Linked DNA regions of Neurospora crassa OR74A. The protein of the gene in region 3 purifies or fractionates together with the protein of the main gene of each other region. This does not show direct contact. Links are inferred from orthologs where the notes say so. Each region holds a gene or a part of one and is shown on either strand. Other genes may lie near its edges. The genes, in order: NCU08535, NCU02207 and tng.

The links.
Region 1: the proteins of tng (region 3) and NCU08535 purify together in Saccharomyces cerevisiae (affinity purification with mass spectrometry; 4 studies listed by BioGRID). This does not show direct contact. The link is inferred for Neurospora crassa OR74A from reciprocal best matches to the Saccharomyces cerevisiae genes SIT4 and ACC1.
Region 2: the proteins of tng (region 3) and NCU02207 purify together in Saccharomyces cerevisiae (affinity purification with mass spectrometry, with the first as the bait; 4 studies listed by BioGRID). This does not show direct contact. The link is inferred for Neurospora crassa OR74A from reciprocal best matches to the Saccharomyces cerevisiae genes SIT4 and CCT2.

What each region holds. Positions count from the first base shown.
Region 1 is NC_026503.1:5,002,982-5,009,394, reverse strand, and holds the start of NCU08535 (acetyl-CoA carboxylase), read right to left. Parts: upstream 4,068-6,413; 5' UTR 3,551-4,067; intron 3,204-3,550; 5' UTR 3,004-3,203; coding exon 2,842-3,003; intron 2,779-2,841; coding exon 2,513-2,778; intron 2,451-2,512; coding exon 1-2,450. UniProt on the Saccharomyces cerevisiae protein: Carries out three functions: biotin carboxyl carrier protein, biotin carboxylase and carboxyltransferase. Involved in the synthesis of very-long-chain fatty acid synthesis which is required to maintain a functional nuclear envelope.
Region 2 is NC_026507.1:3,332,722-3,338,809, forward strand, and holds NCU02207 (T-complex protein 1 subunit beta), read left to right. Parts: upstream 1-1,174; 5' UTR 1,175-1,422; coding exon 1,423-1,425; intron 1,426-1,500; coding exon 1,501-1,655; intron 1,656-1,735; coding exon 1,736-3,110; intron 3,111-3,170; coding exon 3,171-3,230; 3' UTR 3,231-3,594; downstream 3,595-6,088. Other genes in the region: un-10 (eukaryotic translation initiation factor 3), read right to left, coding at 1-169; NCU02206 (hypothetical protein), read right to left, coding at 3,869-4,200, 4,321-4,414; NCU02205 (hypothetical protein), read left to right, coding at 5,346-5,517, 5,680-5,852. UniProt on the Saccharomyces cerevisiae protein: Molecular chaperone; assists the folding of proteins upon ATP hydrolysis. Known to play a role, in vitro, in the folding of actin and tubulin. In yeast may play a role in mitotic spindle formation.
Region 3 is NC_026502.1:723,691-729,941, forward strand, and holds tng (serine/threonine-protein phosphatase ppe1), read right to left. Parts: upstream 3,366-6,251; 5' UTR 2,967-3,365; coding exon 2,819-2,966; intron 2,691-2,818; coding exon 2,294-2,690; intron 2,231-2,293; coding exon 1,801-2,230; intron 1,729-1,800; coding exon 1,537-1,728; 3' UTR 1,129-1,536; downstream 1-1,128. Other genes in the region: NCU03435 (hypothetical protein), read left to right, coding at 4,019-4,260, 4,319-6,251. UniProt on the Saccharomyces cerevisiae protein: Involved in the dephosphorylation of the large subunit of RNA polymerase II. Is required in late G1 for normal G1 cyclin expression, bud initiation and expression of certain genes that are periodically expressed during late G1.

The DNA.
Region 1 (6,413 bases), on a different chromosome or scaffold from region 3:
TGACCTTCTTGATGTCCTCCTTGTTCTCATCACGCAGCTTGAGAATAACCTCCTCGTCCTGCAGACGACGGCCAGAAAAGAGACGCTCGACCTCGACGTAAGAAGTAAGAAGATCGCGAATGACATTGAGCTCATGGACCTTCTGGCCCTCAGAGTACTGGTCGATGACGGTGGTGAGAGGGGCCAAGGTGGTCTTCAGCAGCTCAGCGTCAACCTTGGAGGCAACGTTCTCGTCCAGGAACTTCTGGAAGACCTTGCCGAGATTGCGGGCAGGGAACTCGGCCGAACGCGAAGAGGCCTTTTCGAGGACCTGAGTAAGTTGGGCGTCGAGCTTCTGAGGCATACGGGCATGAAGGGCTGAGAATTGAGCGGTGAACTCGCTGTAAGGGAGCTTGGGGTCACGAAGAACTTCAATCAGATCCTTCAGGGTCTGCTGCATGATGATCTGGTTGTCGTAGCCCATGAGGATGTTCTGAAGAGTGTCATAGAGAAGGCGGAATCTCTGAGCGGGCTTGCTGCCGACAACAACAGGGGCACCAAACTCGGGAAGCTGGCCGAGGAAAGGCTGGGCCTGCTTGACACGGCTGGGATCATCGAGAGCGAGGATACCAAGAATGTCACCGGCCTCGAGAGTAGCGCCGGGCTGCTTGATAAGCTGGACGATACCATCCTCCTGGGCAATGAGAGGCATGTACATCTTCATGACCTCGACCTCAGCGAAGGTCTGGCCGGCGCTGACGTGTTCGCCGTTCTCGACGGTGTACTTGACGAGCTTACCGGGAGAGGGGGTGCGCAACTGGGTGGGATCGTTCTCCTGCTCCAGCAGACAGGTCTTGCTATCGACCGACATGCGGGTAGCAGCGACCTCTTCCTTCCAGTAAACGTTGTGACTGCGGCCGTTGAGAAGGATGAGGAGTCCACCATCGCTCAGAGCACGAACGCCGACAGTGCACTTGGAGCCGTTGATGAAGAGATGGTAGCTATCGGCGCTCGACCTGGTGACGGTGAACTTGTAGCGGTAACCCTCGTAGATAAAGTCGACGGGGAAGACAGTCTTGAGGATGTCCTTGGAGGGGACCTGACCCTTCTCAAGGCCAGCACGGTACTCGGTCATGCAGCCTTCGCTCGCAATGTGGGCCTTGGTGACGGCACCGCAAACAACGGCCAGAATGGGGTCGGGACGCTCAGCAGTGAGCTTCTTGGAAATAAGCTCATCGAGCCAGCCGGTAGTGATGGTGTTCTCCTCGAAGGCCTCAGTCTCCAAAAGCTTGATGAGGTACTCGACGGTGGTACGGAAGTCACCGCGGATGCTCAATTCCTTGAGGGCAACGACCATGTGCTTTCGGGAGGCGGCACGGTTCTCGCCATAGGCAAAGATGTGACCGAACTGCGAGTCGGAGAAACTGTGAATACCACCGGCAGAACCGACGGAGAAGTAACCCCAGACGTTGGAGCTCGAACGGAAGTTGAGATCGTGCAACACACCGTTGGATGGCTTGAAACCCTCACCGGGATCCTCGGAGGTGATACGGCAGGCAGTGGTGTGGCCCTTGGGGGTAGGCCTGCGCTGGGTCTTCTCGGACTCGGGGTTCTTGAACTCGAAGTCGATCTCGCTGGCAGTCCTGGGGTCGACGCCGTAGAGCAGTCTGATGTCGCGGATGCGGTGGAGGGGAATACCCATGGCAACCTGGAGCTGAGCAGCCGGAAGGTTGACACCACTGACCATTTCAGTGGTAGGATGCTCGACCTGCAGACGGGGGTTCAACTCGAGGAAGTAGAACTTGTCATCGGCGTGGGAGTAGAGGTACTCGACGGTACCGGCCGAGACGTAACCGACGAGACGACCAAGACGGACAGCAGCCTCCTCCATGGCCTTGAAGGTCATGGGCTTGGCGATGGTGACGGGGGCCTCTTCGATAATCTTTTGATGTCTGCGCTGGACCGAGCAATCTCTGCCGAAAAGGGAGATGTTGTTGCCGTACTGATCAGCAAGAAGCTGAACCTCCAAATGCCTGGCGCTGTCGGCGAGCTTCATGATAAAAATGGGTGAGCCGGGAATTTCGCTAGCGGCAGCGTTGTAGAGCGACTCGAAGTTGTCCTCGTTGAGGACCTTGCGGATACCCTTGCCACCACCACCTTCGGAGGCCTTGATCATTACTGGGAAACCAATTTCCCTGGCCTTTTCCAGACCCTCCTGCCACGAGCTGACGCAGCCCTTGAGGTAAACGTCATCGGGAACCGTAACAATGCCATTGTCGTCGACCTTGACCTCGCTAACACCGGTACCAGACCAAGGGATACAGGGAACGTCGGCGTGCTGGGCAACAATTGTCGAGGAAATCTTGTCACCAAGGGAGCGCATGGCAGAACCCGGAGGACCAATGAAGACAATCTTCTTGGGGGAAGCCGCAAGGGACTCGGGGAGCTTGGGGTTTTCGGAGGCGTGACCCCTATTCGAACAGTCAGTATTTTCATACCATCAACCCCAGAGGCAGGACTCTTGTCTACGCACCAACCAGCCCACACGGCGTGGACATCCATACGCTCGGCAATATCCACGATCAGCTCGACGTTGGCATAGTTGTGGTTATTTGTGCCGCCGGGGACTTCAACATAGTGATCGGCCATCCTGATGTAGTCGGCGTTGGCCTGCAGATCTTCGGGGGTGGCCATAACGGTGAACTTGATGGCGCGCTCGTCGCCGAATGTTTCGTAAGCCCATTTCCTTACTGAGCGAATCTCCTTGACGGCAGCAATACCGTTGTTGGCAATAAGGACCTGGAAAACAAGCAAATGTTAGCGGAATGTGCGTTGGACTGCCGGGAGAGCGAGGAAACGTACGTTGGTGATGACAGTGTGACCATCGTGGGAGGCCACAAAGTCCTTGACCTTGGAGGGAGGGGCATTCTCAAGCCTGTTGCCGCCAATGAAATGGGGGGCCAGGTTGTGCTTGGCGGCATACGAAGCCTGGACGACGGCGTCGCTCGCTGTTGTGTCCGCCATCTTGTCTGTAAATATGTGGTGTTGTTTTGTCGAGTCGGAGGAGTCGTCGTCGTCGTCGTCGTGGATCGAAGGCGGGGAGGAGGAAGCCGCTTTCAATGTTACACTCGGTCGATGTATACCTATTTCCCGAAACAGCCGAATTCAAGTTATCGGTCAGTGGAGTGTTTCGGTTATTCAGCTCGGCTCAGCTAACAAATCGCCTGCAAAAAAAGAATGATGCTGTCAGTTTCCAGCTCCTCGTCGGCAAAGCAAAGATGTGGTGTGGCAGAATGTCGTGAGGCGGGGCAGCTGGTGGTAATTAAGGGTTATGGTACTGTAGTGGAAAGAGACTGGAGTGGCAGGGTGGTGGATGCGGTGGTCGCATCAGCTTTGGTTTGTTGGGTATCGGGGAATTGGGTGTAGAGCGAGTCGAGTTGTGTCCAGTCCAGGCACAAGCAGGAGGGGACTGGGAACATGCTGGCTGTGCTAATGGGCCGGTGCGGTGCTCTGGGAGGGGGAGTGAAGGGAGCTGCCTGCAGGTGCAGTGAACGCAGAGAGGAACACTCACCGAGTCAAGTTGTCGTGGAGAAGTTGGAAAGTGGGTGGAAAATTACGACAGAAGCCGCACGGGGTATCTCTGCAGGGATGTAAGGGGAAAGTGTGTGTCGTGCGATTGCTCGATCAATGTCGACGTCAACAATAAACAATCGAGTCGAGGCTGCTTAGCAAGAGGCTGAGCAAGAAGGAGAAGGTGCAGCAAGAAAAGTGAAGATCTTGACGGAGCAAACCAAGATGGATGGAGTGGTGCTGGCTGGAGGAGGGAGGATTTGCCGCACGCGATTGCCTTGGTCAAAAAGGTCTTGGTACCTTAAGGTAGAGAGAGAAGAGTGGGAGGAAGGAGGAGAGGAAGACGACGTGGAGGGACGACGAAATTCCTGAAGCTAAATTGGACGAGGACGGCAAGACCAGACCACAGGACCAGAGGGAGCGAGGAGGAGTGAAGGGACGAAGCAACCTGGAAGGAGGCGACCGGAAGAGGGCGACAGGAACCTTTTGATACTTGAAGCTGGAGGGGCAAGAGCGAGCAGACGGCCGTGAAAGATTCGTTGTAATGCCGCGGTATTGCGTCCGAACTTTCCAAATGGGCGACTTCGAGACACCAACTTTGCGGGTTTGATGGGAAAATCGCAGCCACAAGTGGGGCAATTGGGTACAGGTACACCACATGTACTTCTTCCACTTGCGCCCACACTCAACCTCAACTCCAAAACAATACAAGGACCGAGAGCGAAACGGGATGAACTCGGACAACTCAAGTCAGTCCGTTCTCTTTCGATAATGCATAAATACCTACTTGATACCCCCCATCTCTTCCTTCTTGCTTTCATCTTTCTGCTCTCCTGGAGTTGAGTCGTTGCTGCTCTGATGTCCATGTCCCCCACTGCGACATTTCAACCCCGCCAAATGGTATCGCTATCGAGGCCAATCTTGCCATTTGCTCCCGCCTGCCTATCCAAGGCGGTGGATGGCATCAAGGTGGGATTCGCCCTTCAGATTCGGCAAGGTTTGGGAACCTTTGGGGTTCAGTTCGTCAATTGGAGAAGCCAGGGGCAAGTGCCAAGCCGGTTCGCCCAAAAAAAAGGCGGAAAGGGAGGGAGGGGTAGATTTAGCCAAAGCGATGCCGAAGGTGGGTTCCAATTGAGAACTGTCAGCAATCACCCAATCACGGACGTCGATTCTCACCCGAACGGGATCGTTGGGGAAGGCCCACTGCTCCAATCACAATGTCAGGAACCGAGGCGACTGCCCAACCACACCTTTGCCAATCGTCAGCTTCGTACGCCGAATACACACGACCTCGAGTCGTTCTTACAGCTTTTTGTTGTGTCCACAAGTTCTCATATAGCAGCGAATTGATTTGATTCTTCTTGACGTCTACACTACTTTGATAGACAAAAGACATTGATGTTGCTGCTCGGACTGACCCGGGAATCCCCCGCTACGTACTGTACTGACCGATGGTCTTGTCTCACGAAGCACGGCCCAAAGTCCGGATGCAGTCATTTTCACGCCGCAGACGGACGTGATTCAGAGTTGCTGTAGTCATGACATCTGTAGCCGCTCTGTTTCTCTTTTTCACCTTATTAGACGCCCTTCTGCTCTTGCCCTTCCATTGACTTCCATCTTCGTTCAAATCAGCATGATGGCCCGCCTGTTTCTTGTCTTACGCCATACCGCAGCTCAGATGATGTCCGTCACAACGCTTGCAGTCTTCCACACCCAACCTCCAGCCCACATCGCAATTTAAACACGGATCCAGCACAACACAACAACCGAATCATGGGGATCATGGACCTTAACTTCCCATGTTGTCATTAGCTTGTCCGTGGGGCTCCGGCGTTCAAAAGACCGGCCGACCGAAAGCTGACGTCTAGTGCGACATGGGCGCATGTAACCTCCGGTCAATACCCCGGTGGAACGTGGGGAGAATGGCAAGACAATGAATGGTTTGAAGAGGCCAACACAAGGACAACACTGGCGATGACAGGCTTCCAAAACGAACATTGGCGGCTGACTGAATGATATGGCCGTCCTCTCAATGAAGCTAACAGACATCGGTTTAGTCTCGTACATACGGCGCGCAAAAGTCAATGTCCGATGATGAAAAGTCACCGAAAGTGGTTACATAGGGTACGTGCTTAGTCCATCTCATTCCGGGCTGTCAGGGACTCGGGGTGCACCTCCACCCCAAAGCGAAGTGGCGTCGGGTGGGTCACACGGTAACGGCATGTATGAAAATTACGATGAGATCTTCGGTACGTACCCCTAAGATTTGTTGGGTTCGCAAAAACCTTGTGCGGAAACCCCCCGACAAGGCCGAACCTCCCCGCGTGAGACGGAGGGTTGAACATGGAACAATTGAACGAGCCTCGCCTTGAAAACAACCAAAATATCTTCACCCACTGAGGGGTTGAACGGGACGACCAAGGATTGTGTTCGGCTGGCGAGGTTCAGCGCCTTTTCAGGGGATCGGCACAGCAGCAAACGAAAATGTTAGTGCGGGCGCCGGGCCCCGCAGATCCCCAACATGTTGTCCGCGTCCGCGGGAACGGCACCCTTACATGGCCCTAACAAGTCTGCTTTTGCTGCCTTGAAATCAACCCTTTGGCCCGAGCGCACATTCGCTTCTTTTGTTGACGGCAGAGAGATCGAGTTTTTTCCTTGCTATCGAAATGGTTCTGACTCGCCAAAATGAGGGTATTGACAACTCACTATATTGCACCCCCACAGCCATAGGCGCCTCCTCCGCAAAAGGGGGCAGTGTTTTTAATCGATGCGCAGCTTCATGCTTTCTGATGGGTGATCCGTGCGCATCAAGGTACCACAGGCCAGAAAATGGATGCCCCAGGGGGGGGGGGGCTCCCGGACGT
Region 2 (6,088 bases), on a different chromosome or scaffold from region 3:
TTTGCTCCTCGTTGACCTCGGGGAGGCCGTCGACAACGACAAAGGCATCGTAGCCCTGCTCAAGCTGAACCTCGTACTTCTCGCGGATATCGGAAATGTCGACCTCATCAACATCGAAGTCATCCTCGTCGAGGTCCTCGTCGCGGAGGTGGTCGAAAGAGGGCGCCATGCTGGGCAATTAATCGGCAGTCTGTTATGCTTGGTGGGTGCCGGGGATTAGTGGTAGCTGGCGATGTACGGGTCGGGAAGGCGCCTCTGGTGGTGGTGGTGGTGGTTGGACTTGGTGGATGACGGGATTCTGGGCTGGCCGCTTCGGATTTTTTCTGCGATGCCGCGGGCGGAACAACGTGCTGGCTTATGCGGTCGTCAGGATTATTGTGAGAATTTGTGCGCAGCGCGCAGATTGTGGTGGGGTTCAGTGAGAACGGCCAGAGAACCAGGGAAGACAGTGAAGGGAATGCCCCACTTTAGGAGGCAATAATGCACGTTGATTGGCTACCCTACCAGATCCCCTCTCTCTGGAATCGCCAAAATGGGAATTTATGTCAGTGAATGCAATGATGGGGTGGATAGTTTGGAGGTTAAAGAAGACGGAGCCTCAGATATCATGGATATTGCACAGTCGCAATGAACACTCAGCCTGGGAAAGTCAAGTTCTCGATGCTGTCTCTATTCTTCATCAACTACAACTTTTTCGGTTTCCTTTCTTTTTAACAAAATGATGGCGGCAGGCAGTGGGCTAAGCATTGTTCGTTTGTGCACGGAACCAATATTGACCATGGCAACGTCTGTCCGCTTTCAGCAGAGTTTACAGGTTTCAAGTTGCCATCACTTTGAAGTCAAGAAGTGGACTGAAGGTTGCGGTTCGTTCGTTGCACCGACTCAGGTTCCCTTTCCTCTTGGCTTTGAGCCTCGACGGTAGTCCCCTGGGCTCCTCGCTTCTCAAAGTGCTGGCTGCGCTGTCCACCACTATCCACCGCCGCCGCCGCCGCTGCCAGCCCAAAGCTCCCCTCCCCCCCCCTTTCTTCCTTCCCCACGGAAGACGTCCAAGTGGGGTCCCCTGCTGCCCACTCACCTCAAGTGGACATTTTGTCTGTCAAAGGAGGGGCAGACGGCCTGGCATGCGAGTGACAAGCATTTTATGCCACCTGTCGCAGGCGGTGAGGTAAAGGAGGAACAGGAAGCTCTGGAATTTTGCCGTGGCCTGCCGTCCAAAAAGTGCCTGGAATTCAGAAGAGCATCATCCGTCCCGCTGCTGGCAGATTGTTGTAGAAAGGAGGCTTCGCGTTCAGGGTATCCATAACGTCCACCCAAAATATAGTACTACCAAGCTTCAATTGCTTCTTCTTCTCTTCCAACCTCAACCCCCTGTGCACCCCGTATCCCCGACCTTTTGTCTAATACTTAAGCTTCTTCTACATCATGGCAAGTTGATTTGTACATCACTTTGGGCATCTTTCCGAGCTCACCGTAACTAACCAACCGCCTGACCATCTCCAGGCCTCGTTTAGCCCCACCCAGATCTTCGAGGAGGGCACCACAGAAGAGAAGGGAGAGAATGCCCGTCTCAGCGCCTTCGTCGGCGCCATTGCTGTTGGCGACCTCGTCAAGAGCACCCTTGGTCCCAAGGGCATGGACAAGATCCTCCAGTCTGCGTATGCTTGTTCACCAAACCCCCCGCCTACATGCTTGACACGCCGCCGTCATGTGCTGACCGCACCATCACAACATCCAGCTCGACCGGTGAGATTCTAGTAACAAACGACGGTGCTACTATCCTCAAGTCTATCGCTCTCGACAACGCCGCTGCCAAGGTCCTCGTAAACATCTCCAAGGTCCAGGACGACGAAGTCGGTGATGGCACCACCTCGGTTGCCGTCCTTGCCGCCGAGCTCTTGCGCGAGGCCGAGAAGCTTGTCGACAAGAAGATCCACCCTCAGACTATCATCGAGGGTTACCGGATAGCTAGCCAGGCTGCGCTCAAGGCCCTCGAGGACTCTGCCGTTGACCACAGCAGCAACCCCGAGGCGTTCAGGAAAGACCTTGTCGCCATCGCGCGCACGACACTCAGCTCCAAGATTCTTGCCCAAGACAGAGACCACTTTGCCGAGCTCGCGACCGAGGCCATTCTGCGCCTGAAGGGTTCCGCCGACCTTAGCCACATCCAGATCATCAAGAAGTCCGGTGGCAAGCTCAGCGAATCATATCTCGACGATGGCTTTATTCTCGACAAGAAGATCGGTGTCAATCAGCCCAAGCGCCTCGAGAAGGCCAAGATCCTTATTGCCAACACATCGATGGATACCGACAAGGTCAAGATCTTTGGTGCGCGCGTCAAGGTCAACTCTACCAGCAAGCTCGCCGAGCTTGAGAAGGCCGAGAAGGAGAAGATGAAGGCCAAGGTTGAGAAGATCAAGGCGCACGGCATTAACTGCTTCATCAACAGGCAGTTGATTTACAACTGGCCCGAGCAGCTGTTCACCGATGCCGGCATCATGTCGATCGAGCATGCCGATTTCGATGGCATTGAGCGCCTTGCTCTCGTTACCGGCGGTGAAATCGCTTCTACCTTCGACCACCCGGAGCAGGTCAAGCTTGGATATGCCGACTTGATTGAGGAGATTATTATTGGCGAGGATACCCTTATCAGATTCTCCGGCACGGCTGCCGGCCAGGCTTGCACTGTCGTTCTCCGCGGTGCTACCGATCAGTTGCTTGACGAAGCCGAGAGAAGTTTGCACGACGCTCTTGCCGTTCTTTCACAGACCGTTAAGGAGTCCAGGACAACACTGGGTGGTGGATGCGCTGAGATGGTTATGGCCAAGGCTGTTGAGGGTGCTGCTACTCGGGTTGAGGGCAAGAAACAGACCGCTGTGTCTGCCTTCGCCACTGCTCTCAGGCAACTGCCTACCATCCTGGCTGACAACGCTGGTCTCGATTCTGGCGACCTTGTTGCCCGTTTGCGCAAGGCTATCTATGACGGTCTGACCACCTATGGTTTGGATCTCATGACACCAGGCGGCGGTATTGCCGATATGAGAGACTTGGGTGTTATTGAGAGTTACAAGCTCAAGAAGGCTGTTGTTTCTTCGGCCAGTGAAGCCGCTGAGGTATGTAACCCCTATTTCAATGCTGAATACGGCTTTGAGCATGCTAACCATCGTGAATAGTTGCTTTTGCGTGTGGACGACATAATAAGAGCGGCCCCCAGGAGGCGGGAGAGGCACTAAACTCGTACTTTTTGATGGACGAGGAGAGTTGGTGGAGAGCAGACTATGTAAATGACCTTGAGCATAGCAGTGCTGAATGCTTGATGGTGTGTGGTCTCGCCGTCCCAATACTAGCCCGACCTTTGATTCTTGTTGATGTCAGACCACGATGTCATGCCGTGCGCCAAATGATGCCACAACTGATATAGCAGAGACCCAAAACTAATAACCACGCCATCTCATGTCTGCCGCCTAACTTGACTAGCCAGCCTTTCATCGTGTATGTAATATTCTACCTTTTTCTGTGTCGGAGAGAGATCCACCAATCGTCCATTCAGATGCATGCCGATATTACCTCATTCAACGTTATTCGACGAAACATCAGGGAAGGAGTGTCATATTTTCATGACTGTCAACGTTAGGAACACACTTCCTACAGCTTCTGGTAGGAAACCTCCCTCCAATCCTTCATTCGACCCCCCTTTCAAACACTTCATCCCAACCTGACCTAGTCACCTATACCCTTTGAAATAAAAACTCCCACTGAAGAGCATTCCATCCTCCTTCATCATATCCAGCATACTAGCAAGCCCCATCCCGAACTACACCAAACACGAGCCAAGTACTTAGGTTCAGTTGTTTTCCCCAAGCCTCAAGCCTCAAGCCAAAGCCTCGGCCAACCTCTCCTTCAACAAGCGTCCAATCACCTCGGGATCCGGCCCCTCGGCCCCCGCGGCGACCATATCCTCCCGCGTGAGTCGGACGAACTTGATGTCTGGGTTCTTGGCCAGCACCGCTTCTTTGACTTGCTCGGCGTCCGAGGGGGACACGCCGCCGCCGAAGATGATGGCCTTGGGCACCTTGAGGTCGGCTGGGGTGGCGGCCGTGGCGTTGGAGCCGAGGTTTGACGAGGGGAGGTGGGAGAAGGTGCCGGTGCAGAGAGGGGGGAGTTCCGAGAGGGAGGTGGAGAGGGTGAGGGTTGTGTGGACGACTAGTAGGGGAGGGGAACGGGGAGGTTAGTTTGGGTGAGTAATTACGTGGAAGGTGGATGTAGATATACTAATGGGGAATGGGTGTGAACGTAGTGGAAAGGAGAAAGGGATGGACGAACCGTCATATTCTGGAAGGAGCTTTTCGCGAATGGCTTGAGCGACCTCGGGGTTGTTGCCGAAGGAAGCGATGGGGATTGCGGCGGCGGTGGACATGATGATAGCTAAGTAGTGAGTTGCACTTGGGGGTATAGCTTTAGGTTGGTGGGATTGTTCCTATAATTCTATGCTTTGACTGCTAGAGAAGATGGGCAAGCCTTGGTACTTGGGATAGTAGTATCGTGGGGATTCATATATCTCGTTGCTTTACTCGAGAGCCATTTCTGACCATGACTGGAGCTCTCCTTCCAGTTGTATTGAAGTGAGGCTTGGAAAGCCGTCGTCGTTCCCGTCGTTGTGTATGTCGGACAATCTGTAACGATTGTCACCGGTGACCGAAGTCCCGGACCAAGGAAACAGCTGCAACAAATTGTCTTAGACAGCAAATGCTACTCACTTACAGGTACTGCGAATTGCTTGGCTGCTTCAGTAGTATTTTTGGGGAAGGTTCGAAACCTTTGGTTTGGCGGAGAGCGGGACATGATGAAGACCGAATCGGGACGATGGGATGATTCCGGGGACCGGCATGGAGGAGGCCCAGCCCGGAGCTTCATCAAGACCTCGTCACCGAACGGAAGGCAGATTGCTGCGCCGTAGTAGTAGTCACGAACAAGACTACCAATTGTTCTCTTCCCTTGAGATACCACGCCTCGCCTTGAGTTCGTCGTGCCGTGGGGTAATCCGCTAATGAATTCGGGAGTCCGGAGACACAGCATTGTTTAGTCGCCTGAAGCCGCGTAAGTCGTGGAAATCCTTGTCTTCTAGAATTGATTCCGGTCTTCTTGTGTAATTTGGATGCATACGGGCCGTATAGTCAAATGGTGGACGAATTGTCCTTGACACCGACTGGAGGACCTGTATGTGAAACATGGCTATGTTGTGCGAAGATTCACCGCAAAATATGCTCGAGTATTAATAGAGTTTTGTGATAAAGGGACGGCGTATTAGACGAGCGCGCGGATCCAGTCTTGCACGGAATAATGTGACAATGTCAGCTCAAATGTACCAATTCGGGATTTCGGGTGAGGGAGATGGAAACACTTTCTACAAGGACGCAGAGAAGAAGTCTTCCTTCCGTCTCTTCCTGCTCGGGTTGTTTGGCATCTCATTGGCGACCAGGCTCGGTCCCGAGATGGTGGCTATCCACGCCCATTCTCGTAGTAAGTAGGACATGAGGCTCGTGTCGCATCAAGCGAGGAAAGACTGGCTAAAAGTCCTCCAGTAGTACATAGGTGGAAAGGGTTTCCAGCTGAGATGAACTTGTCTGGAATGCCACTCGTCTTTTGACCTACATGTGGACTCTTGGTACCGCATTTGTTTAGCAACAAGAACTGAACACGACAACTTGATGTCATGGGAGTGCATCATGCAGGTCGTTCCTAACCTCTTCCTCTCCTCTATGAGAATTCTTGTATTTGCAGCCTTGCTGATAGGTACCTCTACACGGATATATTACTGCATCACCGTCCACGCTCTGCGAAGAGTTCCAGGATAGCTTTCTCTTGTCTCTTCCTACCCTCCTTCCTCAACGCAAGACATTGTTTTGAATATCCCACGCCGCACTGAACTGGGGATGTTCCAGCATATCGTACACATTCACCTCGGTATTGGAGTTCTGAATCAACACTCGTCCCTGCATCTAGACTTGGCCATCTAACATTCCAGTCCACTTTACATCTTGGAGCCTTTCGCGTACGACGGGCCACTTGGTAACGATGCTCTTTCTTATTC
Region 3 (6,251 bases):
CGTACACGACTTCGCTAAGTATGAACAGAATAGACTATAGGTTGATATAATATTAACTAATAATCCATCCACCTTAACAGATATTGACGGGACGAGCACTCTTATATGACAGAAGCTATGCGCTCTGCCGAGCGGCTGAACATCTTCTATGCTATGGAGTTCTATTCTCGTCATCTCAGTGACCTATCATTACAAGCCTAGTGTACACCTTTCTATTATACATACCAGACGCCATCTCAGCATCCCTTAGTGAGCTTAACTGCCTGTCAAAATAGACTTGTCTTCAAATCCCATCTCCTCCAGCTCGTTAGTAACGACGAACATCAAACATTAAACCTATCATTTACCTTTTCGTTACGTACATGGATCAAAGAAAGTTATAATGACGCTTCAGTTAGAAGGGACATTGAGAATTCGTCGTTCTGGATTCGGGGAGGGAGCAAGGGCATGCTGCTGTTGACTGGCGTGTCTCAAAAGAATCTAACCTCATGACAGGCCAGAGGTAAGTAGGGTACAGATTACAAAGACAATAAAAGCAAACATAAAGAAATGGGGCATCACTGGCTGTTTTTGTCTGAACGAAGTCATCAATACATAATATAGATCTCAATCGCAGTCTGGATTAGGTAAAACCAATTAGAAGAAGAGTGCAGTGGTAGACGGACGAGTGTCCTTTGATACTACTGACTGAGATACAACGAAGTGTCTGTCTTCATAGTATATGTCTACACCTCTGCCAGCACCGCACCAGAATAATGTGGCTGATTTCAGTTGTGCTAGGTATTATAAACCCATGAAAGAAAGTAAGACAAGTACATACGACCATACCCACTGGAAAACTCGGGATCCCGTCCGCTCTCCCATAGATAAGCCAGTGAGGGCCAGACTAGTAGTTGGGTCGGTGACGACCAGCGAATCCCTGGTGTTGTATGTTTTTTTTTTCTCCTTAGTTTCCCGTCCTTTTTCTTCGTTTCCTCTTACCTTTCATGTTCGTTCATGCCCGTGACCTCGAGGGTCAGCTCTTGCACTGGCTCTGGCTATTTGTTGGATGTTGGTGACAAGAGAGGCCTTGTATTGTTGGGAGCCAATCAAGAGATCGAAACAATCACGCACAGACCACAATCTTGTGTTTTGGTTGTCTCCAGTTGCCCCTATTATTTGTGTTTAGCCAAAATCATCTTCCCTGCGACTCTCCCTTCATAGCTATCATCAAGTCCGCCACTTCGCTTTGGTGTTGGCTCCAACACTTAATGATTGAACAACGGTAAAAGCCATAACAACGGGATAGTGGTCGCTGGCACTTTCATAGCCTCATTCTGGCACTTGAAACACAAAATTGGGTAGTATAACGCCTCGGAAACGCCAAGTATAAATCCCAGGCAGAATGTCATACATGAAAATTAGGATCCTTGGAGTGGTTGCCACCAATTCCCGACGACAAAACGTGACCTGCCCATAACGCAACGACATGCTTTCTTGACAACAAGACAATCATAACACCGCCCTCTCACCTCACCTCGCGCCCTCGATGTTCTGTCATAGGAAGTAGTCACCCAGCCCCCTTCGGCCTGCGGGGATATGCCGTTGATCGTCTGGCACGGCCGAGAAGATGCTGAACTTTGTGTTTTGGTCGCGGTCCACCGTCATGATGGATGCGACGTTACCGCAACGGTAACAGTAGTTGGGTGCCGACCATACGGTTACGACCGACTTTTCGGCAAAGTGGAACTAGATGAGAAACGCAGGTTAGCTGGCATTCCTTCTCATAACTGTGGAGAGCAACAAAAAGTGATGACCCACCTTGTAACCCTCATTTACCAGCTGATGCGCTCTTGCAATGGTTGTCAAACCGTTGACGTGGTTGAACTCTGTCGCGACCTTGTCTCCGAACAGCCAACCAGCGCCACGTGGACTGACAGCCCATGTATCGACGTCTTCTGGGTCACTCCACACAAGATCGCAGAAAGCACCCTCGTGCGGAATCTCCTGAGCACGCGCAACGACGCGGATCTGGTCAATCGTGCGGATCTCGGGACTGAGACCGCCGTGGACGCAGAGAACGGTACCGTCGACAATGGCGGCAAGAACAAGAAAGTCAAACACTTGGCAGCAAGCCTTCCAGACAGAGGCGTTGCCGTACTTTTGCTGGCACTCCTCGTAGAAACCGTAGACCTGGGTGATTTGTCGGGACTCGTGATTACCGCGCACTAGAACAATGCGATCTGGGTATCTGTTGGGCGAAAAGTGTCAGCAGCGTGAACCGAACCAGAACTAGAACGGGGGGCCTTCGTACTTTGCCTTGAGACACATGAGAAGGGTAAATGTCTCTAAACTGAAGTACCCTCTATCCACGAAATCTCCGAGGAAGACGAAGCGAGTATCGGCCGATTGAGAGCCCGTGTTGGCGCTGGATTGGGGGGTCTCTTCACTTGGGGATTCCTTCTCGCTTCCAGCCCCAGCCTCACTGTCTGTACTGCTCTTGATCTTCTTCTTGAGGTTGGGATCTGTGATTTCCGTTGGGGGCTCGATGTCCTCGGATGTGATGACGGTTGTTGCGGTCTTGGGCGCCTGGACGTTTGTCTCACCGGGCATGCCACCAGCAACGCGAAAGAGTTCGAGGAGATCGTAGAATTGGCCGTGAATATCACCGCAGATGGTGACTGGCGTAACAACAGGCTGGATGTTCGATTCTGATGACGTGGGGACACAAGTCAGCTGGACAAGTTCCCTTGTCGTGCGCGCCTTGGGAACACGGGATGCGAACGCGCGCGCGCGCGCGGGCATGTGTAATCCTGACTAGTAGTTGGTGCTCAAGTACCTTCCATAAGAACTTCCTTGACAATTTCGCAGAGCTGCTTCATGACAGGCTCAGGAAGGTAATGACATTGTTTCGCCTCCTCCAGCCACTCATCTAGACCGGCTCCGGGACGAAGATTAGCCGGACCCGGCTTTGGAATCGTGGACATGATGGTTGTATATAATCGGACTCGAGCCTTTTGGTGTACGGGCTGTAGTTGCAAGATGGGCGAGCAGCGAGCAGCGGGCGAAATATCTTATCAATCGAAGGGATGCTTGTGTAAGGCTGCGATGGAACTTGGGTTCCGCAATTGTTAATGTCGCTAGATGAATCGCGGGTCGCAAGGATTCGTGATTGAAGGGTCCTGGGGCCACCAAGTGCAAGTGGGAGGGCACTGCTAGACTTAAGTTGTGTTGTCGGGTGTGTTGGGTTGTTGTTTGTTGTTGGGATGAAATTCTAAGGATGACGACGATGCCGAGCGCGGGATCTGGATGGCTGAGGTGAGGTTGAATGGATGGGGCTGGAATCAACCTCGACCTCGACCTCGAACTGTGACCGGGCGGGCAGCCTGCCACCCACCCACTGGAAACCTACTGGTACTGTGAAGGTACTGCGTGGGACCCGTGGCCAACTGCGGTTTGCCAGTGGGCGAGTGCCCTGAATGGATTGCGCTGCAGGCCAAATCACGCGCGCACATTGGCGCCGAGAGCTGCCCCCCTCAGCCGCTGTGGGTCTGTGCACTCCCTTAAAGCAAACGAAGTTCTGGATCCCCGGAATTGCGGGGCACTTGGATTGTGGATTTCTTATCGAATCCGATAAGGCTGAGCGGTAGGTACCGCCGTACCTTAAAGACCAAGCTCCACCCTTTCCACTTCACTCAGCAATCGCATCCCGTCATTGCTCTTTGGATTTGTTACCCGAAACACTCATCCAACACCGCTCGCGCCAGCCGCGCCCTCCACTCTCACCAACATCGACAGCTTGATGTAAACTGTCGTTTCTCCAAAGACGGAGTCTCCCATCACGACACGAGCCCCCGCTGGTCTCGACCACCAGTACTTAGTACGCCGACAGACAGCTCTATCAACCACCGATAGACAATCATTCCGCCAATACTGTGAGCGAAGCATGAGGCTGTGATTTCTACACTAGCTCGAGACTCCACCCAGAAACTACACATACCCCGACCATTCCAAGCCACGGTAGCTTCAAAATTCAACCATGATGGCGGCGCCCCAGCTGCTTCTGCGCAAACCTAATGGCACCGCTGCCGGCCAGGCCACCAATGATGCCCAGAACGCACCCAAGACCAAGCCTCAGTCCGAGGGCGAAAAGGTGGTTGTCCGTCGACTTCCTCCCCTGCTAACCGAAGAAGAGTTCTTCAAAATCCTCGGCGATGAATGGAAAGTCGGCCATGGCAAGGTTGACTGGTTTTCATACTGGCCTGGCAAGAGCTCCCAGCAGTAAGTACATCACCGCAGCTTCTCCCCAACGCGCTTCTCACACAATCATGTGTCACAGTCCCTCACGGCCATCTCGACCCTCCCGCGCCTATATTCACGTTATCAGGAAAGATGACCTTTTAGTGCTCTCACAAGCTGTACAGAATGGCGTTTGGGAGGACGCCAAGGAATCATACAACGACCCGGTCCTGAACCTGCCGCCCACAGTCGAGTTGTCGATTCACAAGAAGATCCCTAGCGACAAGAAAAGGGTGGATAACCGCCAAGGCACTATCGACCAGGAGCCTGAGTTTATGGCCTTTCTTGAGAGCCTTGCCAATCCCGATGCCCACAAGACTACAGATACCGCCGGTGAACCGAATGCCGAGGAAACATCAGCCAAGCCCGAAAAGGTCACCACCACGCCACTCGTCGAATATCTTAAGGAGAAGAAAGCACAGAGAGCCAAGGAGGCGGCACTTGCCCGGAGCGCCAAGCAACATGCTCGACAGGAATCGCAGGGAGGAAAGACCAAGACTGCCACCGCGACTATTACTCTGGAGGAGTTGAAAAAGCGGGCTAGAGAAGCCAAGGGCGAGAAGACGGATAAGGTTTCAGAGAAACCGAGGGACAATGTCAAGATTTTGACAAGAAGGGGCGCATCAAGTGCTGCAGCGGAAGCCGCCAAAGCTGCCAATACGGTTGCCAGCCAGATCCAGGACAACGCCCGGTCCAGCTCAAAGGCCGACTCCCAGACCAAGGCCGCCCAGAGCTCGTCACAATCCGCCACTCAGTCGACTCCTTCCGGCGACGCAACATCGGAGCTACCCAAGAGTCGACGGGCAGGCATCGCCGCAGCAGCACGCATCTTACAACGTGACCTGGGCCTCAGCCCGGGCAACGCTCACAGAAAGGCACGTCAGGAGGCAGCAAAGGCTGAGGCTGACGCAAAGGCCAGCGCTGCTGCTACTGCCAGTGCCAATGCCAGTGCTGCCAAAGAAACTGCATCCAGGGAGAAGAAGGAGAAGGAGACAACTCCTGCGCCGGCTAGCTCTGAACGCTCTTCGACGCCCGCCAATGCTGCCGACTCTTCGGCTGTTGCATCGCCTTCGGCGTCTGCTAGGGGACGAGAGTCAGCCTCCGGAAGAACGCGCGGAAGGAGAGGCCGAGGTGGGACTACAGAGGAAGGATCAAAGTCAAAGGGAACAGATGCCGGCAAGGAGACCAAACCTGCTGAGGTCGCGACACCACAACCGCCAATCAAGCCAACAATGATTCTCAAGAAGAGGGATTCCACACAGGCGACTCCATCTGCACTCTCGACGCCTTCGACGCCTGTAAATGCCCAATCGCCGGCCTTATCAGCCTCGCAAAAACCTAGTTCTCCCAAGCAGCCTTCCACTGGAGGCAGGCAAAGGGGTGGTGGCCGCGGAGGCGAAGCTAAAGAGAACGTCCAGCCCGGTAACAACACAGCCAACACCCCATCCACTCCGGCCCCCACAGGTCCAACCCAAGCCTTCATCAAGCACGCTCACCAAACACAGGGCGTCACCGAGTCAACACTACGCGAGGCTCTGCAAGCCTTCGGCGCCATCAACTCCATCGATTTGCGAAAGAAGGGCTTGGCCTACGTCGACTTTGCGGACCCCGAGGCGCTGAAGAAGGCTATAGCCTCGAGTCCCGTAACGATTGCGCGGGCGAGCGTCACGATTTTAGAGCGCAAATCGGATACCGATAAGAAGGAAGATGGCGGCAAGGATAAGGACAAGGAGACTGCTGCTCCCGGACCTGCGGGGGCGAGTGCACTAGTAGAGAAGGAAAAGACGGTGCCAGAGAGGGAAAAGGAAAATGAGAAAGAGAAAGCACCAGAGAAGGGGAGGGAGCGAGAAAAGCGCGATGATGAAAGAAGAAGGGGAAGAGGCAGGGGCAGAGGACGCGATGGCGGCGGCGGTGGCGGCGACAAAGACAAGGAGAAAGAGAAGGAAAAGGGCGAGAAGGGTGTTGATTCGAGG